Linked DNA regions of Lonchura striata. The protein of the gene in region 3 interacts with the protein of the main gene of each other region in a pairwise test. Links are inferred from orthologs where the notes say so. Each region holds a gene or a part of one and is shown on either strand. Other genes may lie near its edges. The genes, in order: FGFR4, RASSF1, MAP2K3 and PDGFRA.

What was found.
Region 1: the proteins of MAP2K3 (region 3) and FGFR4 come close enough for resonance energy transfer, tested with the Homo sapiens proteins (2 studies listed by BioGRID). The link is inferred for Lonchura striata from reciprocal best matches to the Homo sapiens genes MAP2K3 and FGFR4.
Region 2: the proteins of MAP2K3 (region 3) and RASSF1 come close enough for resonance energy transfer, tested with the Homo sapiens proteins (2 studies listed by BioGRID). The link is inferred for Lonchura striata from reciprocal best matches to the Homo sapiens genes MAP2K3 and RASSF1.
Region 4: the proteins of MAP2K3 (region 3) and PDGFRA come close enough for resonance energy transfer, tested with the Homo sapiens proteins (2 studies listed by BioGRID). The link is inferred for Lonchura striata from reciprocal best matches to the Homo sapiens genes MAP2K3 and PDGFRA.

What each region holds. Positions count from the first base shown.
Region 1 is NC_134617.1:3,321,030-3,328,668, reverse strand, and holds the start of FGFR4 (fibroblast growth factor receptor 4), read left to right. Parts: upstream 1-4,639; 5' UTR 4,640-4,694; intron 4,695-5,046; 5' UTR 5,047-5,078; coding exon 5,079-5,151; intron 5,152-6,106; coding exon 6,107-6,376; intron 6,377-6,480; coding exon 6,481-6,570; intron 6,571-6,692; coding exon 6,693-6,859; intron 6,860-6,945; coding exon 6,946-7,069; intron 7,070-7,345; coding exon 7,346-7,536; intron 7,537-7,639. Other genes in the region: ZNF346 (zinc finger protein 346), read left to right, coding at 210-315. UniProt on the Homo sapiens protein: Tyrosine-protein kinase that acts as a cell-surface receptor for fibroblast growth factors and plays a role in the regulation of cell proliferation, differentiation and migration, and in regulation of lipid metabolism, bile acid biosynthesis, glucose uptake, vitamin D metabolism and phosphate homeostasis.
Region 2 is NC_134614.1:8,485,304-8,492,166, reverse strand, and holds the start of RASSF1 (ras association domain-containing protein 1), read right to left. Parts: upstream 3,014-6,863; coding exon 2,764-3,013; intron 1,816-2,763; coding exon 1,694-1,815; intron 1-1,693. Other genes in the region: ZMYND10 (zinc finger MYND domain-containing protein 10), read right to left, coding at 4,283-4,367, 5,005-5,130, 5,325-5,446. UniProt on the Homo sapiens protein: Potential tumor suppressor. Required for death receptor-dependent apoptosis. Mediates activation of STK3/MST2 and STK4/MST1 during Fas-induced apoptosis by preventing their dephosphorylation.
Region 3 is NC_134618.1:15,094,158-15,102,077, reverse strand, and holds the start of MAP2K3 (dual specificity mitogen-activated protein kinase kinase 3), read left to right. Parts: upstream 1-4,920; 5' UTR 4,921-4,960; coding exon 4,961-4,976; intron 4,977-7,920. Other genes in the region: protein NATD1, read right to left, coding at 831-927. UniProt on the Homo sapiens protein: Dual specificity kinase. Is activated by cytokines and environmental stress in vivo. Catalyzes the concomitant phosphorylation of a threonine and a tyrosine residue in the MAP kinase p38.
Region 4 is NC_134606.1:26,993,034-27,000,237, forward strand, and holds the start of PDGFRA (platelet-derived growth factor receptor alpha), read left to right. Parts: upstream 1-4,204; 5' UTR 4,205-4,219; coding exon 4,220-4,234; intron 4,235-5,856; exon of another isoform or gene 5,857-6,078; intron 6,079-7,204. UniProt on the Homo sapiens protein: Tyrosine-protein kinase that acts as a cell-surface receptor for PDGFA, PDGFB and PDGFC and plays an essential role in the regulation of embryonic development, cell proliferation, survival and chemotaxis.

The DNA.
Region 1 (7,639 bases), on a different chromosome or scaffold from region 3:
TCTGCCATGCTAAAGGTGTCTGTTTACACACAGGCACAGAGAGCAGGGATTCACTTGGAAGATTTTCTGGCAAATCTTCCCTTGGCTGCAGTGGGTTGTTGCTCTGCTGACAGCCTTGCCTGCTGAGCAGTGATTGCAGTTGGCACATTTCAGAGCATTTGTGACATTGTCTCCTTTTTTTCCTTTTTGTTGCTCCCTTCAACGTGCAGGATGCCAGGAGCAGTGCCGGTTGTCGGACCGTTCCCGCCACAACAGTATGTCCGGGAAGAGTCAACTGGCCCAGGAGGCTATAGTTACTTCAGCCAAGACCTCTAGAGCAAGTTGCAGCACTATTCTCGGAGTTGTTGGTGGCCCCAGAGCGCACATCCTTTGCCAGCCCACAATGGTTTCATTATCCCTCTGGATAAGCAAAGCCCTACCCTCCTGTATACACCCGTTGAGCAGAACGGGGACTGAATCTGTCAGGAAAAGGATCCAGCTGGAAGAGACTTGCTAGACAGCAAATACTTCACTCCCTTAGAGTAGTTTTCATTGTGTAATTGCTTCCTGTGAAGGTGGGTGTGGTGTGAGAGGAAGTGTCTATCTGGTGTAAGGAGGGCTTGGCAGCAAGCTGGTAGTGGCACCTTCTCCCTGTCCCCTCTGGTGGGCTGCCCATTCTGCTGCTGGACTGTTGTCAGAGGGCACCAGCACCCATGGGCACACCCAGGATGACAGGAGGGGACCTGGAGCCTGGCTGTGGGACCAGAGCCACCCACATGGCCGGGAAGCTGAGGATGGAGCATGGTGCCTGTCCCTAGGTGTGCCCTGGTGTTGGTGTGCTGTTGGCCCAGCTCTGCGCCTCCCTGCCCCGGGCCACAGCTCTGGCTGTGTCGCCAGTCTGAACTCCATCGCCTTCTGGGCTGGCAGGCGCAGGACAGAGCGTAGAACCACCCAGCAGCCACATCCTCCACAGAAGCACCACAGTCCCCTGCCCAGGCCGCAGCCAGCTCTGTGGAGCCTGTTGCTCCTCCAGCAGCACACCCAGTATCCCTGCCTCAGCCAGGAGAAGCTCAGTCCTGGCCACAGTCCCAGCCACTGCCATCCCTCGTGGCCCCGCAGGCTCCATTGAGTAAATCAAGTGCAGATGTGGAGTCAGGACCGGGTGCCTGCTTACAATTAGGGGCTGGGAAAATTGGGTGGCCCCATTCTTGCTTTGCAGTTCCTTGCCATGGCTGCTGCTTTACCAGGCTGAACCCCCAAATGTTGTGCAGGGGACAGGGCTGGTGAGTAAAGCTCCTGCTTTCTTGGCCACAGATCAGCACTGTGTTGCCCAACCCAGCACATGGTGTGTGCCATGTTCCCATGGGGAGCAGGAGATGTTCTGGCCCCATGCACCTCGTTCCCCGTGCCAGCTGCAGCTGCAGCACTCCCCCACACAGCCAGGGGAGGAAGAGGTGGCAGGGCTGCAGCAGGACAAGGCATGACACTGCCCACCCTCCTGCCATATTGCCCTCAACTTGTGTGTTCCCCACTCAGCCTTCACTGCCCAAGTCTGTGGATGCTCCTGTGCCATGCTGGGGGCTAGAAGAAGCCTGGGTCCCTGATATCCCTGTCCTGCAGCCCCTGCACTGGGCCCCACATTCTTGGCTCCCCAGAGGGAGCAGCAGGCTTATGTTTGCCAAGTTCTGCCTGGTTAAACCTTAACCAAGCTGGGTTGCTCCATCAGTCCCTCCCAGCCAGAGATAAGGATGGGCAGGAAAGACCACGGCCTGATGGGGCATACTGCCCCAAACCTGGCTGCTTGCCTCCAGGGCAGGACCCAGCCCCTGCAGAGCATCCTGCCCAGTCTGGGGCAGCTGCCTGCCTATCCAGCTTGCTCCCTCCCTTCCTCAGCGGGCCCCCACTGATATGAGGGCAGCAGGTTGTGGCTGGGGCTGGAAGCTACCATGTTGAAGCCAGTGGACTGGATGGAGCTGGAAACCCTTGCTCCAGGGCTGACCCACTCCCTCAGTGCCAGAAGGTTCACATCACCCCAGCACATTGAATGAGCATGCTCAGCCTCAGATCCTGTGCACGTACAGTGAGCTGGGGCTTCTGTGCCCCAAACAAGAGCCGTTCAGGAGAGGCCAAGAGAAACTTCCAGGAGGAAAGAGCCCCCCAGGCTCCGGCCCCCACAGGAGCCACCGTGCTGCGCGGGCTCTGGCTGGCCGCAGGTGCCACCACAGCGGGAGTGGCGGCAAGTGCTGGGGCCAGGCACAAGGGGCGGCTGTGTTCCCGCAGCTCCGGCTGCCTTCCAAGAGCAATATTGTTGGCACCAGGCAGGCTCCCTGCACCGGCAGCACATACATGGGCCTTTCATGAGGAGAGTGGGGATGATTTACTGCCTGGGGGAAGGGGCAGGGGCGGGAGGATGGAGCCCCAGCATGCCGGCGCCCGGCCCCTTGTGCGTGCTCGCTGCTGCGGGGCCCCGCACATATTAGCAAGGCCAAGGATCTGGCAAGGGGGTCGTCTCTCCCAACGGGACATGGGGTAAGAGGGATCCCTCTGCAACATCTGTGAAGTTCTGAGAACACACTTCATCTCTGGGCACCGCGCTGTGAGCTGTCACTTGTGCCACAGTGATGGGGGCAGCCCATGAGCTGGGGGAGATGGCCATCAGAGGAGGGTGCTGGGGCAGGGGTGCACCCACAGCGCAGAGTGCTGTGCTGGCACAATCCCCCCTTGTTGAGCTGCTGGCGTGGCAGAAGCCGTTGTGGTGCTGCCGGCAGCGGGTGGCAGGCGGTGGGGCTGGGCTGCTGTGAAGGGCTTTTTGTTTGCCGTCAGTTGCTGTTATAAATCAAGCCAGGCAGCCCAGCCCCAGCCCAGCACTGCCCCATGGCAGGGAGGTGACCAGTTCCCAGCTGCCTACAGCAGAGCCCCACCAAGCCCTGGCCTGTGCCTGGCATTGTCCTGGCCCAGTGGGGATGTTCAGTGTGACACTGGGCAACATGCCCACACTGGTCTGCTTGCCCTTCTTCCACTCAGCATTGGGGAACCCTGGGATACAGGGAATCTTTCCATGTTCATCCCAGGCTGTGTCTCCCACAGGCTCCCCAGAGTCCCAGCTCTCCCTGGTGTTCCAAATACTGGGAACATCCCCTTCTCTCTGGTTTTAATTTGGTTTTGGTTCGAATTGAGCTGAACCCAACATTTTTCTGTGCTTCCGGCACACTGTGAACTCTGCAGGGGCGGCCGCTGCTCCGTGAAATTGATGTTCTCGTCCGCTTCACGCGTCAGCAGGAATGAACAGCTGCTGGGGGCTGCTGGCCCCCAGGACTGCTCTGTGCACCTCTGCACCCCAAGGGGACACACACCAGTACTCCAGATGGGGAGCAGCACAGGGTGGATGGTGCTATGGGAGATTGTAGCACCAACCAGACCTCACAGTGAAACCATGTCATGCTGGATGGTTTGGTGCAGTGGAGCAGCATGGACAAGGCTGTGCCCAGGACTCAGGTTTGATCCTACAAAAAGAGGGGTGACAGTGACAGTGTACCCCACTCACAGGGCCACAAGGTCCACGCCAGGCATGGGCAAGGCTGTTGTGTGGGGCTCAGCATAACCCTGGAAGATCTTGCTGGAAAGCAGATGGCGAAACAGATGCAATGCAGGAAAGGAGAGCAACTCTAGGGCCAGACCCTGGCCATGTACTGGGGGACACTGACCCCTCTTGATGGCAGCAGGATGCTCAGGGGACATTGTTCCTTGGGATCACGCCAACTCGAAGTGCCTAAGGCCAGGCATCCCCCAGTGTCCAGTGGTCTTGTATGGGCCAGCCAGCAACAGGGCTTGGGCATGGTGGGGTCTGCCTGCCCCAGCACAGGCAACAGCATAGGGAAGGTGAGGGCGAAGTGTTTATGGGTTGGATTAGGCCACTCCAACGCTGGCTCGCACCTTAGCCACGTTTTATGATGCTCCGTTATGGGCTCCTAATGAGGGTCACAGCCACTTTATGGCACTGACAGCGATAACGCTACAACTAATTATGGCACAATTAGCCAATTAGCGTGTGGGCTGCTGGGCACCCAGCAACGCTCAGCGCCCAGCTTGGGCCATGACAGCTGCTTGGGGCTGAAGTGCTCCCACCCCCAGCAATCGGGGGGAAACAGGGGTGGCCTTGCCCCCTGTCCCATCTGCTGCTCCCCACGCGTGGGGTCTGCCTGGAGGACAGCAGAGGGGAGCAGCCCCGGGTGTTTTGCAGCCCCCTGTGCTCCCCACCCGCGAGGGGAGGCTGTGCCGGCGGAGCCGGGACAGAGTGGGCCGGGGGCCGCCTCTCGCCGCTGCGGGGGAAAGGCCGGTGCTACCCCCCACCTTCCCCCGTCCAGCTCGGCGGCAGGTCGGTCGGTTTGCAGAGATGCCGGAGATGCGGGGCCGGTCCCCGTCCCCCCACCCCTCCCGCCTCCCCAGCGCTCCGGGCGGGGCCGCTGTAACCCGAGCGCGTCCCTACAAAGTGCCCGCGCCCCCGAGGCGGCGGCAGAGCGGGGCCGGAGCCAGCCGGGAGCGAGCCCCAGCCCTGCCCGCCGCCGGAGCCGTCCCGAGCCCGGAGCCAGAGCCGTCCCGGCCCTGCCGCCATGGGGCCACGGTCTGGGGCTCGGCGGCGCTGAGCCCGCTGTCCCCGGACTTTGCCCCGGCCCGCGCAGCGCAGGCGGCTCCGCCGCGGGAGCCCGTCACCGCCGGTAACCGCGCCGACCGCGACCCTCGCCCCCGGCACCATTCGGGCCCCCCCTCCCGGGACACTCCCCCCTGCCTGGGATTCTCCGTGGTCCCCCGCCCCCGGTTAACCTCCCCTAGAGCCCTGACCAGGCTGAAGCTGGCCGGAGAGGTCGAATTCCCGGCGCTCAAACGGGGTGTTTCCCACTCTCCGTGCCCCCTCCCATTCCTGCCCAGGGACCCCCGTGCTCTGCCTCCCGTCCATGCCCACCCACCCTCGCGGTGACCTGGGGACCTCGCACTGCTTCTCCCCGGTGCCTCGGGAGAGGAGGGGTCTGCCCGCCCGGATCCGCTCACCCGACCCTGCCTGTCCCGCAGGGTGGGACCCCCGCGCTGGGGGGGCCTGGAAGATGCGGCCCCTCTTGCAGGTCGTGGCGGGGCTGCTGCTGGCGGTAGCTGCACGGGGCAGGGCGATGGAGCCAGGTACGGCTGCGGGGGGCGACGCGGACCCGGGGGCGGTGGGAGTGGGTTCCTGCTTTCTGAATACTTTCTCCATCCCGGCTGGGCGGCGACCCCTGGGCTGGGATGCGAGTGCTTGCCCTGGGCATGCAGCCCCACCGCTCTGCCTGCAGGGCAGGGCTGGTGGGAACTGGGGACAGGGCACAGGGACCGGTGTTCCCATCACTGACAGGGGCAGGGTGGCTCCAGCCAGGCTGTCCCTGTGCTGCGGGGGCTTGGCTCGCTCGCTGGACACGCGTGGCAGAGAGGGGTTGTGAGACCGCTGTGGGCTGTGGCTGCTGTGTGTGACACCTGGTGAAATGCGGGCAGTGCGTGCCTCGAGGTGGTGGGTGCGGGAGAAGGATGCGTCCCCCGGGACCAGAGAGCAGCTGCCCCACATCCCTCCTGTGCTGGCCATGCACTGGGCTGGAGGCACATTCGTGCACTCCAGGCTCCTGCACATGGGCAGTCGTGCTGCCGTGGTATTGCTGTGCTGGCGACCAGGTTGTTTCTGCCCTCCACGGGCACATGCTGCTGCTGGCCATCGGCAAGCTGGGCTCCACTGCCAGCCGGGCACTGCCAGGGACAACCAGGCTTTAGGGGTCCCAGCCATGCTTGGGGCATGTAGAGGTCCGACGATGGGTGTCTGGAGGGGTTTGTTGCCCTCCTTCAGTAAGGCAGAGCAAGCTGGAGCACCCTGCACCGCTGGGAGTGGTGGAAGGATAGTGGCATGTATGGCCTTGGCCAGGGACATGCCATTGGGGAAATCATGTCCCCGTGCTTCAGGTCAGAGTCCAGCCCTTACCTGCTTCTAGGGTGGCAGAGCCAGGCTCTGGGCTGTGTCACACCACATGCTCTCCACACTAGGATGGGCATATGGAGGGGTCCTGCTATCAGGGAGGGGTGAGCACTGGGGTGGGTGCTCACCACATCTCTCCAGAGCTATTTGAGAGCCCCTTGCTGGAGTCAGAAGATGAACATCTCCTCCTGGACCCAGGCAACACATTGAAGCTGTACTGTGATGCCAACCAGAGTGGTGCCAGTGTGGTCTGGTACAAGGAGTCCCGGCCACTCGTCTCAGGAGGTCGCATCCACCTCCGTCAGAGCCTGCTGGAGATCTCAGAGGTCACCTACGAGGACTCAGGGCTCTATGTGTGCCGGGCACGGGGAACTGGAGAGGTCCTGCGCAACTTCACCATCTCTGTCGTGGGTAGGAGCCCCGGCAGCACCCAGCTACCCTTGGGGCAGCAAAGCAGCCACTGCCTGCCCAGCCCTGCAGGCAGGGATGTCCTTCTCAACCGTTTCCCTTTGCAGACTCCCTGGCATCAGGTGATGATGATGAAGATAGTGATGGGGACAGTCCCCACGGAGACCGAAATGAGGAGTCGGTCTATGTGCACAGAGGTCAGTGCCACACCAGGGCACTACAGGAGAGGGCAGGTGGGGCAGAACCAGGGGCATGGGGCACTGCTGCCTCCTGCTACCTGTACAGGCCCCCTCCCATTGTACATCCTGCACGTCCCCAGCTCCTTACTGGACTCACCCACACCGGATGGACAAGAAGCTGTATGCAGTCCCTGCGGGGAACACGGTGAAGTTCCGCTGCCCGGCCTCAGGCAGCCCCAGCCCCAGCATTCGCTGGTTCAAGAATGGTCGAGAGTTCCGAGGGGAGCACCGCATCGGGGGCATCCGGGTATGGGACAGCTCCTCCCACCACAGCTTCCCTCCCAGGATCCCTCTTCCCCAGCTCACCTCACTGCCTTACCTCCCTCTCTGCAGCTCCGGCACCAGCACTGGAGCCTGGTGATGGAGAGTGTGGTGCCCTCTGACCGTGGCAACTACACTTGCCTGGTGGAAAACAGGTTTGGCAGCATCCGCTACAGCTACCTCCTGGATGTGTTGGGTGAGGGTTCCTCAGCATGTGCTGATCTGGGCTTCCCCATACCTGGTGGGGTCAGAGAAAGGGGTGGAGGAGCCTCTGTGACCTACCCACTGATGCAGCTCACATGTCCCTCACAATCCAGGGACATGGGATGGAGACCAGGCTTGGGTTGCGCTGGTCTGTTTTAGGGTTGGGGAAGGGCCCAATGTGGCTCCATGGTGGGTGGAGAAGGAGGGAGAAAGGAGCCTGTACTCTGGGCCACCATGTTAGTGACACTGCTCTGCTCCCTGTGTGCAGAGAGGTCCCCGCACAGGCCCATTTTGCAGGCTGGGCTGCCTGCCAACACCACAGCCCTGGTGGGCAGCGATGTGGAGTTCTTCTGCAAGGTCTACAGTGATGCCCAGCCCCACATCCAGTGGCTGAAGCACATTGAAGTGAATGGCAGCAACTACGGCCCCGACGGGGTCCCCTATGTGCAAGTGCTCAAGGTAACAAGGGCTGGAAGCACTCAGGTCCCAGATACCTGTGCTAAGGTGGTGACAGGGGTGCACAGAGCTCCCTGAGGAAGAGGGATACTGACCGTCCATCCCT
Region 2 (6,863 bases), on a different chromosome or scaffold from region 3:
GCCGCCGGCACCCCACTTCAAAGTGCTGGCCCCGCACACGGGGGACCGAGCGTCCTGGCTCGGCGTCGCTGCCACCGGCACCCGCTAATGAGTATTGACGCGGGGCCGCGGAGCTGCCACACAGCGCTGCACATGTCCCCACGGCACTGAGGGGTCCCCAGTCCCGACAGCCGCCCCACAGCATGCAGGCACTGCAGGACCCTGCAGGATGGGGACAGCTGTGAAGCTGCTCGGGGAGTTTGTCCCGGCACCCCCAAAACTCCAGCAGCTCCAGCCCTGAGGGGACCTTGGCATGCCCATGCCAGGCAGCGAAACTCCACTCGCCCCACATCCAACCGGACAGGGCCACCGTGTCCCCCGGCACGGCCATGCTCGACCCCACTCCTGCCCCACAGCAGGGCCAAGCTCACCTCTAAGAAAAGACCACCGACACCTCTAGTTTCCCCACGCACCAAGCCCACCCTCGCCTGCTCCCCAGCACCCAGCCGGGGGAATGTGCTCCCGATGACGTCACCCGTGTCCCCCATTACGTCACGGCCCGGGACCGACCTGGCGGCGGCGCGGGCGGCGGCCGAGGGAGGTGCGGGCGGTGTAGAAGAGCTCGGGCTCGGAGTCGGAGTCCTCCTGGCTGCAGTAGCCGCTGCTGGCCGTGCTGCCCCCCGTGCCCCCCGCGCCGCCCCGCCGCAGAGCCAACGCCGCCGCCCCGCAGCCCCCGGGCCCGCCGGCCCCCGGCCCGGCCACGGGCACGGCGGCGGTGGCGGTGGGCACGGCCCGGCCCGGCCGCCCCGCGGCCCCGCCGGGGCGGCGAGCACACGGGCACGCCCGGCCTCGCGCCAGCCCGACCGGCCCCCGGGCCGGGGCCCGGCTCGCTCCGCTCCCGGCTCGGCTCAGCCCGCTCCCGGTCCTTGGCCCGGCTCCGCTCAGCCCGGCCCTTGGCCCGGCTCGGCTCCGCTCGGTCCCTATGGCGTCTCGGCTCCGCCCGGTCGCACTCTCAGTCCCGGCTCAGCTTCGCCCGGTCCCTATCACCGTCCCGCTCGGCTCCGCCCGGCGTCTATCGCGGTCCCGTCCTCGGCTCGGCTCAGACCGGTCCCTATCGCGCTCCTGTCCCGGCTCGGTTCGGCGCGGCGTCTACCGCGCCCTGCCCGCTCCCGGCTCAGCGCGGTCCCCCCCGCCCCGCCCCGGCCGCGGGGTGACGCGGGCCGGGGGCGGCGCGGCGGCCCCGCTTCCGGCGGTGACTTCACCCGCGCCCGCCCGGACACGGCTGAGTCCCGGCTGCGCTCGGCTCGGCTCGGGCACGGTGTGGTGCGGGCGGCGCGGCACGGGCAGGACACAGCACAGCCTGGCTTGGCACAGCATAGCCCGACATGGCACAACATGGCATGGCACGACCTTACTCAGCCCAGACCAGCGCAGTGCAGTCCATCAAGGCTTGGCACAGCCCAACGTGGCACAGCATAGCCTGGCATGGTGCAGCCTGGCATGGCACAGCCTGGCATGCTAGCTGCACTCAGCTCAGCTAAGCCCAGCCAAGCCCAGCTCAGCAAGGCTTGGCACAGCCTGGCATGGCACAGCCTGGCATGCCATGCCATGGCCTCACATGGCACAGCCCAGCTCAGCCCCCCCGAGCCCAGCGTAGCCCCCAGTTTGCCACTCCCTGCGCAAGCTCTCCCTCACAGACAGGCACAGGCCTTACCACGTTGGTGTCCTTCTCCAGCACCTGCTCATTGCCATCGTCCTCATCACCAGCACCTGGGGGGCCACCGCAGTCCAGCTGCACCAGGGCCCGGCACCGGTAGTGGCAGGTGAAGCTGCAGTCTGGGGACAGAGACAGAAGCAGGGTCACCACTGTGCACAGCCTGGGGGTCAGGGCACTGGCTGGGACAAGGGCTGGCACACGGTGACAGCATCAGCTGTCTGCTCATGCTGTGCCCAGGGGCTCAGGGAGATAGCACTGTGCCATGTCTTGGCCAGGGCTGCTGTGTTCCCTGCTGTGCTGGCCAGCATGGTGTGCTCAGTGCCTGGTACTGGGCTGCCCAGTGTGGGTGTCTAGTGCTGGGATTCCCAGTGGCCAGTGTGGGTACCCCATGCTGGAATACCTGGTACCTGGTGCAGGTACCCAGTACAGGGATGCATGGTGCCGTGTGAGGGTATTCTGTATGGGGCTGCCAGTGCCTGGTGTGGGTGCCCGATCCAGGGGTGTCCAGTGTTTGGTGGCAACTCCTGGTGCCCAGAAGCCCAGTGCCTGCTGCAGCTGCCCAGAATGGTGATGCCCAACTTAATGGAAATGCCTGGCACCAGGATGCCTGGTGGGGGTAATTATTATTGAGGTGCCCTGTGCTGGGATGTTTGGTGCCTGGTGCGGGATGCCTGTGCCCAGTGGTGGGGCAGCCGGTGCACAGTGAGGGGGCCCACTACCAGAGGGTGGGGGCCCGTGGGGGTGCCCGATGCCCCACCCGCTGGTGGTGGGAGTGTCCGGTGGCAGCATGTCCGGTGCTGGGAAACTCATGCCCACCAGTGGGACAGCCGGTGCTCAGCGGGGCTGCCTACTACCAGGATGCTCGGTGTCCTGTAGAGGTGGCCGGTTGGTGGGATGCCCGGTGGGAACGCCCAGTGGTGAGTGTGCCCGGTGGTGGGGATGCCCGGTGCTCGCTGGGGGTGCCCGGTGCTGAGGAAGCCGAGCGGCGGGACGCCCGGAGCCTGGCGGGGGTGCGGGCGTGCCCGGCGGCGGGGGTGCGGGGGCCCGGGGCGCGGCGCGGTACTCACGGCGGCACTGGAGGCTCTTCCTGCCGCCGCCCCAGACGAAGTCCCCGCAGAGATCGCACCAGGTGTGCAGCCCGCGGCGCCGCGGCTCGAAGCGGTGCCCGGCGCCCGGTGCCGCCGTCAGCCGCGGGTCAGGGTGCGCCCCGGGGCCGGGCCGGCGGGCCGGGCTGATGCGCAGCGCGTTGGCCCGTTCCAGGCGGCCCCGGCCCGGCCGCGGCTCCGGCTGCAGCTCCCGCAGCTCGATGAGCTCCATGGCCCGGCGGCCGCGGGCGCAGCTCGGCGGCGGGGCGGGGGCCGGCACCGGGCCGGGGCCGGGGCCGGGGCGGGGATCGGGAGGGGCCGCCTCGATCGGGCACTGCGGGGAAACTGAGGCAGGAAAGATGGGGCTCAATGCCCCGGGCTCCCGATCGCCAACTCCAGTCCCGGCGAGCCCGGCGGGGCGGGCTGGAGGCGGGGATGAGGTTCCCGGAGCCGCCGCGGAGGAAGGGGGGCCCGCTGCAGCCGCTCCGCTCTCTCTGCCTCTTCTCGCAGGAGGAGGACAAACTGTGCTCCCTGCCTCAGTTTCCCAGTGAGGAAGGGGCTGGAAGCACCCCTGGCGGCGGGTGAGAAGCAGACCGAGAGCTACGGAGAGCGCTCCTGCTCCCGGTGGCTGCAGCCCTGGACGTGCAGCACGGGTTTGGGGTGAGGAGTTTATTGAGCTCCGGGCGCGGGCTGCTCAGCCGCGGCTGCAGCTGGACGAGATGGTTTCCTGCCTGCTGCCGTGGCTCCTGCAGCAGCAGCCTTGGTGCAAAGCTTATTTTTATGTGTCGGATTCTCCAGTGCCCCATCAGAAAAAGGACATGGCCAACCTTTCCCAGCTGTGCTCAGACCAAGGCTCCAGCCCTTTGGCAGCAGCTGCTGACCAGTGAGATGCACCCCAGGGTATCCCCACCAGTAGAACCTGTTTACTGGTAATGCTGGTGGGCAGAGGACCAAGCCCTTGGTGCTAACATCACATCAAGAGCGAGGAAATGGGGTGAATTGTCCCTGCAAGGTGGGAGATGACAAATACCCAAGAAACTCTTTCTCACAGCAAGATGCTCGTGCAAACCACATCCTCTGCTCCCCACGCTGCTCTAACAATGGTGAGACGGCACAGAAGCCTTCTCACTCCCTTCCCTCCCAGATGCAGTAAGGTAACCATACCCTCACAATTTTTTTCGGGTTCTCAGGGATTTCTGTTGTTGCAGAGAAAATGGACACACGCCTCCCACTTTGTGGAAAGGAGGGGACGAAGCAGTTTGTTACGTTCAGCTAGGAGAGAAAACACAGAAGCCAAGCAACTGTGGGATGCACAAGGAGGTTTATTGGAGAAGGCAGAATGGTGAGGTGGTGGGAGAGGAGAGGATAGCCCAGGCTTGTGCTGCCTGCAGCTGGGAGCAGGCAGAAGGGGCCCTTGCCAGCTTCTTTCCCGCTCTGGGCTACACACCAGGGGAACCTCCGACTCTGTGAGCCATGGGCCAGTTGCCAGACACCACTTTTCTTACAGACCATCCACACTCCTTGGCACCTCAGCCATCAGGTTGCAGGCAGGCTTGTGCTTCTGCCAGTGCTGCACCTGGCATGCCCTGCAGAGGGGGAAGCTGCTGTCAGGGGCACTGGAGTCATATCCATCTCTGTTGGCAAAGCAGCAAGAAGGACAAACTCCATGACCGCACCCTCTGTGAGCTGGGAGAGAGCTGATACAGCCCAGCATTAGACTAAGAGGGGGTGGATGCAGCCCCAGTGCTGGGGGTTAAGAAGGTTTAACGACAGACCTTGCCAGATGGTCCAGGACCAGAGATTTAATTTACTGCCACCGTCCCAGCTGCCACATCCCAGCTTGTCACCTGCACCCATGGGGTCATGGGTGCTTTCCTACTTGTGCCCCACCAAGGTGGGAGGAGGAAGACAGTGTCACCATGGAAAACCCAGCCTGTCACTGCTGTTGCTGTGGGCAGAGGCAGCTCAGCACCTCAGCAACATAACCTTCACCAACACCTCCTCCACCAGCAGCCCAGCACATCAGCCTCCCCACAAAATTCACAGAGGTACATGGCCAGCAGAGAGCTGGTGGTGCTGAGCAGTGGTGGGACCCCTGGCTTTGCTTGGCCCTCCCACAGAATTCTCCAGTGAGACCCTGTGGTGCTCTGGGGAGTACTGAGGAGCTGCAGGGAGGCCCAGGGGGGCTGCAGGGGTCCCAAGGGGGTGGCAGGGCTCCCTTACCGTGTGCAGTACCACTCGTTCCGGCAGCGAGAGCAGCGCTTGGTTGCTTCTACACCACACACCCTGCAACGGGGCTTGTCAGGGGCCAGAGCCTCCATCATGTCCAGGCTGTAGGTCTGTGCCCACCTGTGCAGGCAGAGAGGGATGAGGCTGCTTACAGGGAATGGCCGACAGTGAGCTATCCCTGTTGCACCCTGCCACTGAGGGGACATCTCCAGCCAGTGCCACAGGACCCCTCTGTCCTCCCAGTGACGAGCTCCAGCTCTGCTCATGGGGATACTGGTTCCACTGGGCACTCTGCAAACCTGCTCCAGCCTCACCTGCCTGCCTGCAGCTTCAGCTCCTCCTCAGTGGGGCTGAAAGCGTGCTTCACCTGGTGCTTGGCAATGGCCTCCCACTTCCCTGAGTTTTTCTTGAGGATATGGTCCCAGATGACAGGAACCTGGTGGGAGATGCAGTGCAAGAAGAAGAGGTGCTAACAGCCTGAAAAGGATGCTGTAATCTGGGGAGAAGGCAGCCAGCCCTATGCACAAGACGCATGGTCCTCCAGGAGGGCAGGCAGAGGTGGTCAGGGTATGCTTTTGGGTACATGGAGGGGATGGATCCACCCTCCAGTGGGCATTGAGATGAAACAAGGACCTCTTTGGGGTCCAGCTGGGAGTAAGTGTTCAGCCTTGAGGCCTGTGCTGCTGAGAAGAAAGCCCTGAGACCTCAGCACCCTGCGTGTGGCAGCAGAGTGAACCCCATGCTCCAGAGCCGTTTGTCTGAGCAGATTTTTCCGCTCGTCATTTCCCTGAAGATGAACACCCGGGGAAGGGCTGGCCGGCCAGAAGGAAACATCCCAGCCAAGAGCAGCGTGCTGAGTTCGGCTCTGGAGGGGACCGTGCAGCTTCAAACAGCGCTGCCTTCTCCAGCAGAGTAAAAATAGCCAAGGAAGGGGAGGAGGCTGCTCTGGAAGCAGCCAAATGGAAAAAGTCCGTTCCTTAGCTTGGCTCAGCAACAAGGAGTGAGTTCAGCACTCTCTGGGCAGAGCAGGGAGCCCATATCTGTGCTTCCCGCTGCCTCCCTGTGCCTGCCCCCAGGCTCAGCCCTAGCCCTTGGCAGGGGCAGGCACAAAAGCAGAGCTATGGAGAAGGGCAGCAGCCTGACTGAGGGCTACAGGAGGTCCCCAGCATGCAGCTGCTTGTCACTGTGCCACCAACACGCTGGCAGTCAAGCATGGGGTGTGAATCCATGTCCACCTTGCTCTGATGCCAGCCCCAGCCCCAACAGCTCAGCTTGCCATTATGCAGCTTCCCCAGCTCCAGCTCCCAGCCTGGGCCGTGTCTCCAGCTCAGCCACAGGCACCTCTGACAGGGCACATCACCCTCCTCCCAGGCCATGCCGCCAGCTGCGATGGGGACAGCGTGCTCCCATTGGGGACAGCGTGCTGCCACTGGGGACAGCCCAGACGGCCACTGCCCAACAGACCCATCTCCTCCAGGAAGCAGTGTGGGAGCCTCTGGCAGTGGGGAAGAGCCCCTCTGCTCCCAGCTTTTCTCAGCAGCCTCTTTGCAGATCTGCCCCCATACTCAGTTTCTCCCCTCAGCTCACAAGAAGGCAGTAGAAACACATAAAAACACTTTTCTCCAGAGATTACCACTGCATGGATTAAAGCCCCCAAGAACCTCTTTGCTGTTTAAAGACTTTCATGGCCTAACTCCCAAAGGCCCAGACACCAGCTGGGACCAGTTTAACTCCAGGCTCTATCACCAGACCATGATGCCCCTCTGTACACAGTGTGCCAAGCAGCCTCAGACCAGGGCTGTAAAAGGGTACTTCCCTGGGGAGTCCAGAATTCAACATGAAAACACTGATAG
Region 3 (7,920 bases):
CTGCAATTTCTGCAGGGCAGCGAGGCAGTTTTACCCAGAGTAGTTCTCAGTATGACAAATGGATGGGAAAGAGATGCCGGGATCGTTGACTATCTGTAATTAACCATTAAGATGAAGGCTGGGAAAGAATCAGTGCACCACAGAGAAATTTTAGTGGCACCTACTTTTTTTTTTTCTTTGTTCACTCCACCCAATATGTGACGGACTTTTTGGGGGTCACTGTGTCACCAGAGCTCCACAGGTGGCTGTCACAGCTTGGATCCGTGTCGTTGGTCCTACAGAACCGCGGCACCCACCGTGCTGGGGTTTCCCTGAAGGAACATCCCCAGAGGGGCCCCGGTTCCCAGCACCCCCACATCCCCCGCAGGCACCTGCTCCCGGGGGGACCGGGGCAGTGCCCCCCAAGCTGCCCGTGTCCCCACCGGGCTGCACACACACCCCAAGCGAGGGAGCCCAGCGATGCCGCATCCCCTGCGAGAAGGTTTTGGGGTGCAGGAAGGGCTGGGGCGGGGGGTCACACCGCGGCAGGGCGGAGAGCACGGGGGAAATGCAGCGGGACTCAGCGGCACGGCAGGAGGGGGAACCGGGAGAAACGGGGGAAATCGGTGAGAACGGGAAAAAGGGGCAGGAAGAAGAAGAAAAAAGGGGAGAGCAACGGGGAGGAAGAACAGGGAGGGGAAAGGGGGGAGAGACAACGTGGGGTGGGGCGAAGGGGGGGAACAGCGAGAGCTGAAGAGGAACGGGGATCCGGAGCGGCCAGCGCGGCCGGACCGGGGCGGAGGGCGGAGGGCAGCGGTAACGTCCCGGGAGCCCCGAGCGCCGCCCCTTACCGTTGAGCCGCACGGTGAACTGCCGCCGCTTGCGATCGTGCTCCACCTGGATGGGGCAGCCCTGCTCCAGGAGGCCGAGCGGCGCGGAGTGCGCCATGGCGGTGCCGGTGCCGGTGCCGAGGCGCGGTCGGGCCCGGCGCGGCCGCGGCCGCAGGAAGCCCCAGCTGTGCGGCACGTGCCCGCCCCGCAGCCAATGGCCGCGCCGCGCTTTTGTTTTGGTACGGCCGCGCGGCCCTTAAAGGGGCAACGCCAACGCCGCCGTGGGGACCGCAGGCAGCCCAGGCGCCCCCGCGCGGGCGGCGCCGCCACCAGCGGCCGCCGGAACGGCGCGGGTTCGGTACTGGTCCCGTGCTAATTCCGCACTGGTTCTGTGCAGATTTGTCACTGGTACTGTGCTGGTTCGGCGCTGGTCCCGCACTAATTCCGCACTGGTTCCGTGCTGGTTCGGCACTGGTCCCGCACAGGTAACTGTACTGGTTCTGTACCGGTCCCACACTGGTCTCACACTAATTCTGCACTGGTTCTGTACTGGTCCCACACTAATTCCGCACTGGTTCTGTGCTGGTCCCATACTGGTTCTGTGCTGGGTCGGCACTGGTCCTGCACAGGTTCTGTACTAGCTCTGTACCGGTCCCGTTCTGGTCCTGCACTAATTCCACACTGGTTCTGTACCGGTCCCGCACTGATTCCACACTAATTCCACACTGGTTCTGTGCTGGTCCCATACTGGTCCCACACGAGTTCTGTACTGATTCTGTACCGGTCCCGTTCTGGTCCTGCACTAATTCCACACTGGTTCTGTGCTGGTCCCATACTGGTTCTGTGCTGGTTCGGCACTGGTCCTGCACAGGTTCTGTACTAGTTCTGTACTGGTCCCGTTCTGGTCCTGCACTAATTCCACACTGGTTCTGTACTGGTCCCACACGGTTTCTGTACCAGTTCTGTACCGGTCCCACACTGATTCCACACTAATTCCACACTGGTTCTGTGCTGGTCCCATACTGGTCCTGCACGAGTTCTGTACTGGTTCTGTACTGGTCCCGTTCTGGTCCTGCACTAATTGCACACTGGTTTTGTACTGGTCCCACGCTAATTCTGCACTGGTTCCGTGCTGGTCCCACATGGGTTCTGTACTGTTCTGTACCAGTCCCACACTAATTCTGCACTGGTTCTGTGCTGGTCCCGTACGGGTTCTGTACTGGTCCCACACTGACCCCACATCGGTTCTGTAGTGGCTCTGTACTGGTCCTGCACTGTTTTTTACCAGTCCTTTACTGGCCCCGCACTGGTTTTCTGCTCTGGTCTCCTGCTCTTTCCCCGCTCCCATCGAGCCTGGCCCCAAGGACTGGGTGTCTGCTGGGCAGAGGGGTAAATTCCCTTCCTTCTCCATGAATGTTGGTGAGGAGGTGTTGTCCTTCACCCCATCCCCTCCCTGGCAGCTGTGTGCTGCTGCAGGGAGGCACAAACAGCAGGGGAGCGCAGGGAATGCAAAGCCTGCAGCAGCCAGGCCCAGCACGGCTGGCGTGTGGCAGGGAGGAAGGGGAGGGATAACTGGCATGATCCCAGAGCTGTCAGGGAGGGCTGATGCCCTCCAGCACACAGGGATGCTCAGGACACAGCAGGGCTGAAGTTTTAGGAGAGAGGAGGAAGGAGAAGCAGGTTTTGCCCAGACATGGGTGAGCAACTCCTTACTGTCACCCTGTTCTTTGGAGAGTTTTAAAGTTCTTCTAAAAGTTCCTATGCCTTCTAATATTTACATATTTCTACTGAGTTTTCTCACACATGTTCATGTAAATAATAACTGTTTTACATTCTTCTTTGTGGGTGGAGAGAATTTATAGACTGTTAGCTTGACCAGTGCAGCTGGAGAGGTGGCAGTTTCACCCTCCAATCCACTACCATTTTTGCTAATGTATATATAGTAGAGTCAGAAAATAAAGTTTACTTTTTTGAGTTATTTTTTCTTTCCTTTTACATCCAACCTGCTTCTGTGAGTTATTTCATGTCACAGTGTAACACCTTACTGCCCTCGGTGATCGCCCTGACCCAGAGCCAAAGGTTCACCTACAGCCCCTGAAAGCATGGAGAGCCTTTCCATGGGTGCCAAAACTGCAGCAAAACTTGCCAAAATCTCTGTGAGCACTCGGGCTCCATGGGGATCCTGTGCCTGTGCTGATTCCCTGGGACAGCGGCTCAGACGAGGAGGGGCAGGCAGAAGCAGCCATGGGAAGCTGCAGAAGAGGTGGAGAGGTCCCCCAGGAGATCCCCAAGCCCTACCATGGCTGGGAGGTGACCTCGAGGGTGCTTCTGGTGCCTTCCTCACAGCTCGTGGGGGTCTGTGTGCTCCCTGCCTTCCCACCCTGTTGGATCTGGATGCTGAGTGCTCCCAATTTCCCTGTGTGCCCTGCAGAGCTCCTGTGCTGGAAGGCCTGGCAGCCTTGGTGACACTTGTGTGTCCCCTCTCACCCCTGGGATTGAGAGCCAGAGACTCAAATCCAGTCACTGCTTCATCCAGCCCTGGATGTAGCAGCCTCCAGGGATGCAGGAGGGGGATGGTGCACATTTGGGGACAGCAGGGCCATGTCCCCAAGCTCGCAGTGACACCCCAGGTGCTGCCAGCAGCAGGGCCAGCTGTCAGAGCCGGTCCCACAGCTCCCCATTTGTAAAAGAGCTGGTGATGCTCTGCTCTGCCACAGACCCCCCAAAACTCACACCCAAGCACTGCCTCAGCCCAGAGCTGTGTGGATCAGTTCAAACCCCGCTGCTGGCTCCAAGATCCGTGTGGATAAAGGTCAGAAAGGGCCCCTCAGCTGGCCCAGCCCTGCACTGACACCACAGCTCTTGCATCAGCGCTGCTGACCCGCGGCTGGGCTGCAGAGCAGTGGCTTTTTTGGAAAGACTCCTCCTCGTCTGTGTTGAAAGACTTGAAAGGTGGCGAATCTGCGACCTCTCTGGGGAAGGTAATTGCTCTCCCCGCTAAAAACCTGTAATTGATGTTGCATTTGAGCTCTTCCACCCTCAGTGTGCAGCTGGATCTGGTGCCTTTGGTGCTTGAGGCACCCGTGCAGCCACAGATCCCAACTCCTGCAGCTCCTTCCCTCTGGCAGCGAATCCCTTCTACTGCCTGGCTTTGAGGAGGTTTTTCCAGTCCTCAGATTTATCCCAAACTCTCTGCAAAGCTGAGAGCTGGCTGTGGCAGAGCAGCTGCGATCTCACCAGTGCTGCCAGCAGTTGCCACCCCTCCAACTCCTCCTTTGGTCTTTATGGATCACACGAAGAATTCCAGCCAGAAAATGGCACTTGGAATCTCATTTTTTTTGCTTTTTCAGCTGCATCTCTCACATCGTATCCAGCATTTCTGCCTGCAGCCCAGCTCGGGTGGCTGTGGGAGCATCCTTACCCCAGGATGTGCCACGTCTGGGAGGGGTTGATTCCTCAGTGACTCAGGGAGGAATTAACCATGGAATCAGAGCATCCTGAGCTGTAAGGGACACACAAGGATCATCCAGTCCAACTCCAGGCCCCCAAATCCCACCCTATGCCTGGGAACGTTGTCCAAACACTCCTGGAGCTGTGGCAGCCTTGGGGCTGTGCCCATCCCCTGGGGAGGCTGGGCAGTGCCTGGTCACCTTCTGGGGGGAATTTCCTTTCCCTGATATCCAGCCCAAACCCCCCTGACACAGCTCCGGCCGCTCCCTTGGCTCCCCGGCCATTTCCCAGCCGGACACGCCGCTGGCACCCACGGCACGCGGGACCCACGGGAGGCGTGAGTGACCACCCTCAGCTGACAGAGGAGGTGAGGGCCGAGGAGCAGCACAGGGGGGGATGCTCGGCGCCCCAACCCCGCGGCAGTGTCGCCGCTCTCGGGGCAGCGTCCCCGGGGCCACGACGGCGACACCGAGGCCACCTCTCCTGAGGGGCAGCAGCACCCGCCCGCCTCACTTCCCCCTCACAGCCGCGCCCGAGAACCGCAGAGCCGTTTCCGCGCGGGGCCCTGGCCACGCCCCCCGGCGCGGCGCTGGCCAATGGCGGCGCGGGGGCGGGCCCGGCGGGGCGGCCGCCGGCGGGGCCGCGGCGGGCGGGACCGGCGGGCGCCGCTGGGGCCGGGCCCGCCGGGCTCGCACAGCGCCATGTCCCTGCCCAGAGGTACGAGCGGGCTCGGGAGGGGCGGCGGGGCCGGGGCTGCTGCCCAGCCCGCCGGGCGTGGGCTCCCCGCGGCTTCCTCTGCGCTGGTCCCGGAGCCGCGATGCCGGGGGCTGCGAACCCTCGGTGGGGATGCGGGGTGGGGGAGACGGGGCGAGGCTGCGTTTGGCGTGGGGAGAGCGATAAGAACAGGCGAGCTGTGTTTGTTTGCCGCGAGTTTCGCCTGCCTGCCTTGAGCTCCCGCTGCTCGGGAACTCCGGGCTGGGAGCCGCGGGCCAGCGGAGCCCCCGCCGGGCTGGGCCGGGAGGGACGGAGCGGGCTGGGACTGCGGCCGTGGGCTGTGTCGCCTCGTGTCGCCTCGTGTCGCCTCGTGTCGCCTCGTGTCGCCTCGTGTCCCCTCGTGTCGCCTCGTGCCGGTGTCCGGGCACGGCCGGGACCCGGTGCCGGCGTGTGCCGGGAGTGCCGCGCTGCTGTCCCGCTGTCCGCAGCCGCGGAACGTGACCGTGTGTCACCGGGGTTATTCGCACAGCACGGTGACTCAGGTGCCCATCGCAAGGTGAGAGCACCGGCCGGCGGTACGTGCCGGGATGGATGGGGACAGGGAGGTGGCTCTGCCGGTGTCCCGGTGCTCCCCGGAGCCGGCTCCATCCGCGCACCGGACGGAGGAGGGAGCGCACGGAGTGCGGCCGCTGCCTCTCGAATCCGCGGAATAAAATTCGAGGGGTTTTCCCCGTGCGGGAGTGATGCTCTGGAAAGTCGAAGTCAGGAGCCATGTGAGCAGATGAACGCGCCTCCCGTGACTCTTTTTTTCTTTCCTCCACCTCCCCCCGGTTTGAAACGATCCGTGTCTTATCCGGAGGGAATGTGGACCTGAGTTTCCTGTTTGCTGTGTAAGCAGGGGGTGAATCAGCAGCGATTTTCGGAGCTGCTGACTCACAGGTAGGAGCACATGCCTCCAGCCATCCAGCCTTGGAAGGGATCATCCAGGCTTCTTAAAGGCTGGCACACCGGAGCGCAGACCTTTCCTCGGCTGCCTGTGCCGGAGCGGCGGATGTGTGGATGGAGGGACGAGGTGAGCCTGGCCCAGGGACCACTTGTGCCCCATGGGAGATGAAGCTCAAGCTGGGCCTGGAGGATTTTGGGGGAAGCAGCGTGGCTGACAGCAAGAGGTGATGCCTGGAGGAGCGCCTGGGAGCGCGGTGCTTTCCTCAGAGGAGGTTTGGAGCTGCTCTGTGCGTGGAGGTTTCTGTTGGTTGTGGCAGACTGGTTCATTCGTGCAGTTAACCCTGGTGTCCTGTGCTGGAGGTGTCACCCTGTGTGTGCTGAAAGCAGCTGGTGTCTGCTGGCAGCTCAGAGTCCCCGTCTGACCTGAGCTCCTTTGCTTCCATCAGGACAGCAGCAGCAGCACGAGGGTGGATCCCTGAGTGTGATCCTCCTCTCATCCTGCCTCTCCTTGGCTTGCACCTGCCTCCCAGCTGGTTTTTCCAGGGATGCTCACAGGTCTGAGTGTGTGTACCTGCTGCTCATGGCAGCTGCTTCTCTCTCTTTCAGGCAGCCTGAATTTAAGCTAAATTTCCCTGCTTTTCCTTAGGGAATTTCAGTGAACAATCTCAGGTTTCCTTTGCTGGTTCTCCTTTGGTTTGTGTTGCTCAGGGTTGTAAACAGAGGCTGCTGTGTTGAAGCTCTTGGTTGGCTCTTTTTGTGGCAGATGCCTTCCAAAACTCACCTGCCATCACTTTGGCTTAGTCATGGGGTTGTCTCCTGCCTCGGGAGATTTTTGGGATACGTGGCTGGCCGTGACACTGGTGACAGGAATGGTGCTGTGCCGGGGCTTTGCTCTGCACTAAACGTAGCTTGGGAGATAAACACCTCCTGGGGATTTTGTGGCTCTTAGGGAGGATTTTGGCTTTCTTTCTTCCTCTTCCCGTTGCTCCTGTCTGTTTGATCCAAGTTATCTCACAGGATCTTGTATGTGGGAGAAGTCTCCTGTGTTATCTTGCGCTGTTGAGGCTGATGTTTACTCATATATGCAAAAACTCCCTGTTTTCTCAGGTCACCCAAGTTCCCTCGAGCTGTGTCTCATGGCCTGGGTGGCACAGTAGGAAGGAATTGGGAGCAAAGCTCTGGAGCTGTCCCTGTGTCCTCCTTGCAGAACTTTGCAAGGGACACAGCCTCTGGCTGCAGCTGGCAACATGGGGCTGGGCCTGGCTGTGATTTTCCAGCAAGGTCTGCACCTTTTTGGTGAATGGACGCTGTGCAGAGAGGGTGTTGTAACCCAGAAGTTAAAGCAGGAGGGGATGAAGCCTCAGGGAATTTTCAGCCTTTGTGTGGGTGCAGAAACACAGTGGAGGATGCAAGGTCTGAGACTCTGGGGATACAAAACCCTTTTCCCTGGGCCTCAAAGTGTATTTTCTGCCTGCCCTGCACATGGAAATCCCTGTGCCCATCCCTGGGGCTGTTGGCTGTGACCTGAGTGGCCCCTGATGCCTGGAGGGACAGGCAGGAGTGTGCTGCTGGGGAAACAGTTGTTTCCCAAAATATTGGGAGTTTTCTGGGGAAAAGCAGCTGCAGGGAGGGGAAAGAGGGAGGGTGAGTGTATGGGTGGGATCTCGAGGGAGAAGACCTGCTTGTCCTGTCCTGGTTCACCCAGCACCGATGCCTGAGTAATTCAAAAACAAGTGTTTTTCCTTAGCAGGGAGATGTCCTTTGGGAATAGAAGTGCTTTTGGGGGGAGAGGGATCAGGATCTGTCTGGAGCCAGGCTGTGCCTCTGGGGAGGCAGCTCTCCTTCACCACAGAGGCTTGGAAAAGCCAGCAGTGAGGAATGCCAGGACTTGGGGATGAACTGGTGCTTGTTCTCGTGGCTTGTCTATTCTGGGTGGGTAAATAAGTGGTGGTGCCTCGTCCCTGCTGTGCCCTGGCCGTGCCCTCTGTGGGAGCACACCACT
Region 4 (7,204 bases), on a different chromosome or scaffold from region 3:
TTCAATCTGGAATGTTTCCCTTGAAGTTAGTTACACCAGGTTTACACAAAGCAGGATCTGGCCCAGTTTCTACATTATACTCATTCTCAAAAGATAATTAGATTAAAAAGCAAAATATCTGGCTAAAAAAAGCCATCAGTATAAGGATGATAATGTAACTAAATGCTGCTGTATCCTCTGCTCTTGAGCCACATCAGAGCTTTCCTGTCAAAGTCTGAACTGTAGCTTCACATGCATGGCCACAGGAACCTTTACCTGCATTTTCCTCTCATTTCACACTCTCACTTCTCTCTCCAAGACCACCTTGCTCAAGAGGAGTGCATATAACTGAGTTCTCTAAAGGATTGTCAACAACAAACAGGCAAATTATTATGTAACTGAGGCAGAAAATGCTCTCTGCAAATTACATGAGGTACAGACTAAAACAAGTTGATCTTGGAGAAAAAGGCCAAATAGTCTTTTGGAGAAGACAAAAAAAAGAGAGGAACTGTTTCCCTTGACATTTCAATATTTCAGTCTCTCCTGTGTCTGAACTAAAGAAAGAAAAATGAGAACATGGGCATTGGCTACTTCTTTGAATGGCTTGAGGTGTGATTGGTGCCTGCTTGATTCCTTCCATCACTGATTAGGGCCACAGAACCTTGAGTACAGGGGACAAACAGTGCTGCAAGAAGAATGAACTTGTGATTCATGTCTCCTGCTGACATACCTCCAGCATAATCTTGGTAAATTTGAGTAAAATGACTGAACAAATTCAGTGACTAAGAGGAATGCCTACATTTACTTCCAGGTCTGGAACCTTTTGCTGACTCAACAACATGGATGCTGTCTCTTGCAACTCTTAGTGGTGGCTCCACACAAACCCCAATTCAGCAAGCTCTTAGGAAGCATTAATGCCTTTCCATCATCTCAGTCCTTGGGATGGGGAAGATCCATGTTCAGAAACACTCCATGCCACAGAAATAGAGGGACAAGGTTTTGTTTGCAGGGGTATTTTGGAGCATGAAAGATCGGGTGAAGAGAGGGATCCTTTTAGAAACCTAATTACAATTCATTAATCTTGGCTGTAGCTCCAGTATTTCCACAGCAAATCACCCCAAAGGTGTGTATTTATCACTAAGTATCAGAAGAAAACCTGTTGTTGGATGAAGCAGAAAAATGACATCCCTTGCCTGGAACAAGGGGGTTCCGGGTACTCAGTAACAGATGTGTTTCTCTCCTCAGTCTGACACTTTATGATGCTCAGCCTGTCTTGGCTCTTCAGTGCCCACAGTAGGAATGTATGGTGGACGGGAGCAGCCCAGGCATACGCGGGGACCGACACAGACGCGGACGCTGGCACATGCCCACTGTGTCGCAGTGACCACGGCCGCGACATCCAGGGTGGCCTCCATACCATGCGGCTCCCCCGTGCAGAACTCAGGGCTGGGTTCCCAAGCACAGTAGCCCGAGGGGAGCAAAGCTGGTACTAATAGTAAATAGCTGCAGAACGAAAGCAGCTTGCTCTGGCTGTGGTTTTGTCCTGCTGTAATCCATTAATTGCTGCAGCTCGAAAGAACAAAGGCAGAGATAATGGTCTCGGGAGTTACGAACCGAAGTCAAACCTGGGCTGAATCAGCAGACGACCCTTTGATTTCAGAGGGAAAACTTATCATTTGTGGCACGGGAGGAATTTATCTCTCTGCTTTGCTTGCCACATCCCCCGAGCGGCTGAGGCGGGTCCGGGCCGGCCCTACAGGGCTGGAGCCATCAGGCTCCCGGGACGGCGCCTCTCGCCATGTTCTCCGAGCCGCCCGGTCGGTGATGAAGCGCAGAGGCAGCGGCGGCTGGCGGGGCGCGGTGCCGCGCCGGGCTCGGCCGCCGCTCCCGCGGGCTCCGGTGCCCTCTAGTGTCGCGGGGGCGCTGGCACTGCCCCGCGCCCTCGGCCGGCGCTGCAGGCACCCCGGCCGCGCTGCCTCCCCTCCCGTCGGGGCGGCGGCTCGGCCGGGGCCGCGCTCCCCGCCCGGGGGTCGGGGCGGGGCGCGGAGCCAGGCGCGGCGAAGGGCCAGGCGGGTACCAGCCCCTTTCCCCCCTGCTTGGCCTCGCCCCCGAACTGCGTCCAGCCTGCTTCTGGACCACAGCGGGCTGTTTATTCTGTCGCAGTCAAAAAAGTCAGGGCGGGAGCAAAAGGGAAAACAGTCTGTTTTTTAAAGAATAAGGCGTCCACGGCTCTTTTGGCGTCTTTTAATGTCGAGAGCCAAACGCAACAATGAAAGCAAAACAGCTCGACGTCGTGGCAGCAGCGGCCTCGGTGGGGAAACGGCGGGCATGGGGAAGGAAAACGATAGTACGGAGAACTACCTCGAACAGCCATGTGGCAAATAAAAATAAAGGCTAGGGAGGGCAGGCTGGGCAAAGTTAATTTCTTTTTGTCTGGCTGCCTGTCCTCCCAGTGACACGGGATCCCTGCTATTCAGAGCCAAATTTTGTTGAACAAACAAAATGAGGGAATCTGTACTCGTGGAAAGATGGAAATAAATAAAAATCTAAAAATCTGGCAGGACTGTAAATGTACACAAGACCCTCCCACCGCCAGAACACTTTTCCCGAAGGGGCTCGGGCCCCTGGAGTTTCCGAGCTTAGCTCGCCTTCCTAGGCGAGGCAGCCTTCACCGCTGTACTCTCTTTCCTAGGCGATAGATGTGAACACAGATGTGAGGCTGCTCTGCTTTCTCCCTCTCTCAGGGGTTGAGGGGTCTCTGCTTCAGGTTGTAGCTGCTCTTCACGCAGGGGCTTCCTGCTCTAAAAGGGAAAAAAAGGATGACTACTGCTCCGTGCACCGCTGAACGTGGGTAACGATAATTAAACCCAGACAAGCCTTCCCATCCAGTCAAAAGGCTGCGGCCCCTCAGCGGGTGTTCCAGCGGAGCCCGGGCCGGGGCACCCTCGCTCGCCTGCCCGGTCCCGCTGGTGGCCACACCAGCCACCTATTAGATTGTTCAATAGGCTTAACCAGTTAACCGCTGCCGGCTCACCCTTGGGAGAGAGCCGCAGGAAACGCTTTATTACTTGAAACAAATTGTGATTTCTCCAGGGAGGGGGATGCTGAGCGAGGGAGAGGGGAAAGGGGCCTCGAAGGCTCCCAGCCCCCCTGGAAGCGTCTGAGAGTGGAGAGACCCGCCCCGCAATAACCCGAGCCGTCGGTGCTCCCGCTGCCCGGACTCTGACGGCGCCGCGGGCCCGGGGAGGGGGACACACACACCCGCCCACCCCGGGGGGCAGGTTGGCAGCATAAACAGGCGAGAGCGGCTCTAGCACGGGCGCCGCACTTCGTCTGAGACGTGCAGCTTCCATCTGGTACCACATAAACACACGTTAACGGGATGCTTTATGCTCCAGCCCTTCAGGGGAGGGGAAGGCGGGAGGACAGGGGAGATGTAAAAAATCCCCCACCCCCAGCCTGTCCTCTCGCTAACCCCATGTCCCCCTCGCCTCCGTGGACGGGACCCCCCTGCACCACACGGGGCGGGAGGCAGAGCTCAGCAGCCGTCCTGGAGGGTTTATTTTAACTACCACCTCCCCAGCGCGGGACCAATCCATAGGCACCGCCGGATCCCTCTCCCTGAGGGAGGAGCGGGCAGAGCCCAGCTCCCGCCGGCTCGGTGCTCCTGGGGTGGCGGGCGTGGGGAAGGGAAAGCTACGTCGGGGAAAGCTTTCCCCGGAAGGGTGCCTGAGCGACGGTACACCTCCGCCACTGTTTCCGCAGAGCCGTCGGGCCCCCGCCCGAAGGGCCAGACTGGCCTAGCAGGCAGCCTTGCCAGTCGCCTAGTTTAAAATTTTTATTTTTGGCTGGGTCTTGTGAGATCCCACGTGGAAGCCGTTAACGACCTCTCGATAATGATCGTGACAAAGGCATTATTCAAATGAGGCAGGTAATTGCAACCAGAAGGCGCCTCCTCCCCTTCCATTTTGCTCCTTTCTTTTCGAAAGAGTAATTCTCGCATTACATCCCATCCTGATGGTATTTCGCCAGGAATCACCCCGCGTGTTGAACCAGATACACTCACGCCGGTAACATCGCGGCCCGAGCCCTGCAGGATCGCCCCGGCGCATAGGCAGTTGATGCTCATCTTTGAGGGGTTTAAATTTGCGAGAGCCCGCAGCTCTGATCCAAGTAATGATAAAGCATTTCCCCCTACAAATTAAGGGGTTCAGGATGCTGGGTGCTCTCGCACTCTCAGATGGAGAATTCCAGGGTACGGTGTGGGTTTTTTTTCTCCTGTGTTGTTTGTTTGTTTGGTTTGGCCTTTTTTTTTTTTTTTTTTTTTTCCTTTCCTCCATGCCTTTTTGACTCACTGCGAGCCTGTTGTTTATTCACAAGCTTTACGGTATCCTGTTAGCATTCCGACCAGGGTCTGCTCATAGATCTGACTCCGATGATTTCCTGGAGGAACATGTGGAAGCAATAGCGGGGTTGTGCACTCACCCGAGCCGAGGATGCACTAGTGGAGGGCGTGCAAAGGGCCGGGAGCGCCGCCGGGAACCTTGAGAGCCCAGACAGGGGTACCTCAGCCCTGAGCGCGCATCCTTGGGAGTTGGTTCTCGTTTCTGCCTCTATTCTCTTTAGGGCATCTTCGTTTCAGAGGCTGAACTCTCCCTCGCTTAGGAAAGAAAAAAACCACGGGGTCCTGGCTCTTGACTTCGAGACGAAATTTTTGTTTAATACTAAATGGGAGAAAGAGGTGTGGGTGGTGGTTGTGCTGGACTGGGGAAGGAAGGAAAGGGGAGAAGCCGCGGCACACAGCTGTGGGGCTGGTGCCCTCCCCAGAAGGCAGGCGGCGAGCAGGGACCGGCTCCATCCTCGCCGTTCCGTTCCTGGGGCTGCACTGCCCCCTCTCCCGCGGCCGCCGCATCGCCGCGCCCCGCTGGCCCCGCTCGCCTCGCTCCGCACGAAGCCTGCAGCAAAAGGGCGGCGAGGGCAGCTCCCCGGCAGCTCCCTCGGCCACCCCTTATCGCCAGTGATAGCGACGGCCAGCAGAGCAGAGATACCCAGTGCTGGTTCCCCGGCGGGGATCAAAGCTCCGTCTGGAGCGTGTTCAAACAGGACGGGCTCGGACGTGCGCTGCCCGCGCCTCTGCCGGCACCTCCGGCTCTTGTCGTGTCCCTGGTTTGGTTATTACTGGGGTCTGTTTGAGCTGGGCAAAGCGAAGGCAGAGACGAAGAGAAGAGTGTTCTCGGTCCCGTCGGAGCTGCGGGCTTTGGGGAGGCTGGCTCTTGGCGAAGGTTACCTTTCGTTGTGTCTTTCATTCATAAATGTTAGCGATTCGTCTCTCCCCCTGTCTCTCTGCGCCTTCTGGTCCTGGCTGGCTCACGGCCGTCCGTGCAGCTTTCTAGCCCAAACCCGAGCGCAGCGGTGTACAAAGGACACGAGGAAGCCGCGAATTCGTTTCCAAATCAAACTCCCCATCCATAAACTCACACGGTAAGCGTGGACATCGAGCGCGGCGCCCGAGCCACCGTCCTGGAGGGTCTGAGGAGGGAAGACTCATTCATGAAATTTGGGAGCACTCTTGAGTTTTCATGAAAGTTTTTTGGGTAATTTTTTTTCTTCTTCTTTTTTTTTTTTTTTTTTTTTTTTTTTTCATTTTCTCCCCCTGCAGTGCAAAACTCCCCGCTTCCCCCTTTCCTCCCCCTCGCCCCTGCCATATGGCCAACCTCCCCCTCCCCTGCAAGGCTGCTGAAATCTGGAGGCAGGGACGGCCCCCCTGCCTGCGTAAGAGCCTCCCTCCGGCGCGCCCGCCTCCGGCCGCGGGGCTGGGGGCGCCGGGCGAGCCAGCACGCTCTTATTCTGAAGGGGCCTGAGGGGGGCTTCATTTCCTGACAGCTATTTACTTAAAGCAAATGATTAGTTTTGGAAGGATGGTCTATAACATTGAATCAATTACGGGACGCGGTTTGTGAGACCATTACAGTCGGATCGGGAGGGAGGGCGAGCGGGAGGGAAAGAGCGCGGCTGAGCAGGGAAAGTCACAAAAGACGTGGACATATTTTGGATGTTTTACAATCTGCAGGATTGGGGCTGCGGATTGTAAAGGAGAAGGTAAGAGGTGCGGGGCATTTTCCCCACCTTTTTCGTTTTTTACACCTTTTCTCCCGCGGTTTTCTCCTCGTTTATTTTTTCCCGTTTTTCTTTATTTATTTATTGGGGGTTTTCTTCGTGTTTTTTTTTTAATTTTTTTTTTTTTTTTTTATTTTCCCCCGATGCTCCGAGCCGAGCGGAGGTCTTCTTTCCGCGGGGCGCAGGCGGTGGGCGCTGGCGACCCCGCGGAGGGGAGTGGGGTGCAGCGCTGCGCCGCGCCGGCCGTCGGGGTGCGGCGGCGAGCAGCGCGGGCAGCGCTAATGACAAACACATTGGGACGGCGGCAGCCACCGCGCCGCATTCCTGCCACGGGGGCGGGAGCGACCCGCCGGGGCTCCGCGGGCAGCGGCGGTGCCCGCCCCAGGGGGGAAAGCGGGGACGCGCACCGACCAAGTAAGCGGTTCCCTCTCTTCTCGCATCCCTCGCTTCCTTCACCCCGCTGCTCTCCCGTCCCTTCCCCCACCCTTTGTTTTTCATCACCTTCCCTCCTTTAGATCCCCTTTCTCACCTCGCTCCCCCTGGCCCGGTAGCCTAAAATGCCCGAGATCCCGAGCGGAGGCACGCATACAACCCCCGAAAGGCGACCCGATCTCCATCCCTGCGCGCCCCGTCTTTTTTTTAAAAAGTGTCTCGGTGAAAGGGAGGATGCTGAATTTAGACAGGGCTGGTACCTGGAGCCTTTCCAGCCTGCAGCTTCTCTCTCAACGGGAGTGCCAGCCCTGCCGTATGCCCTGCCGGACTGCTGGACCCCACTGCCTCCTACCCCGGGAAGGGCAAAGTCTTCGCGGCCACCTTCTGGATTTTGTCAAGCGCAGAGCTGCAAACTTGCCAGCCTCTGCCAAGCTGGAGTCCCCTGGAAAAGTCCTAGGAGCAAGTAGGAAATGGCTTTTTGGCTGTCCACGGCATTGCTCAACATTTTTGGACGCGGATCCCATAGCTCAGGAACCGTTCCAGAGAACAGGACTTGGACGGCTTTTTCTGCAGCAGCAGCGACAAATCTAGCAAGGCAGCAGCAGTCCCAGGGCACGGCCGCCAGCCCCCGGGGCTCGTCCGCACCCCGTCGGGAAGGCGGCTGCGGACCAGAGGC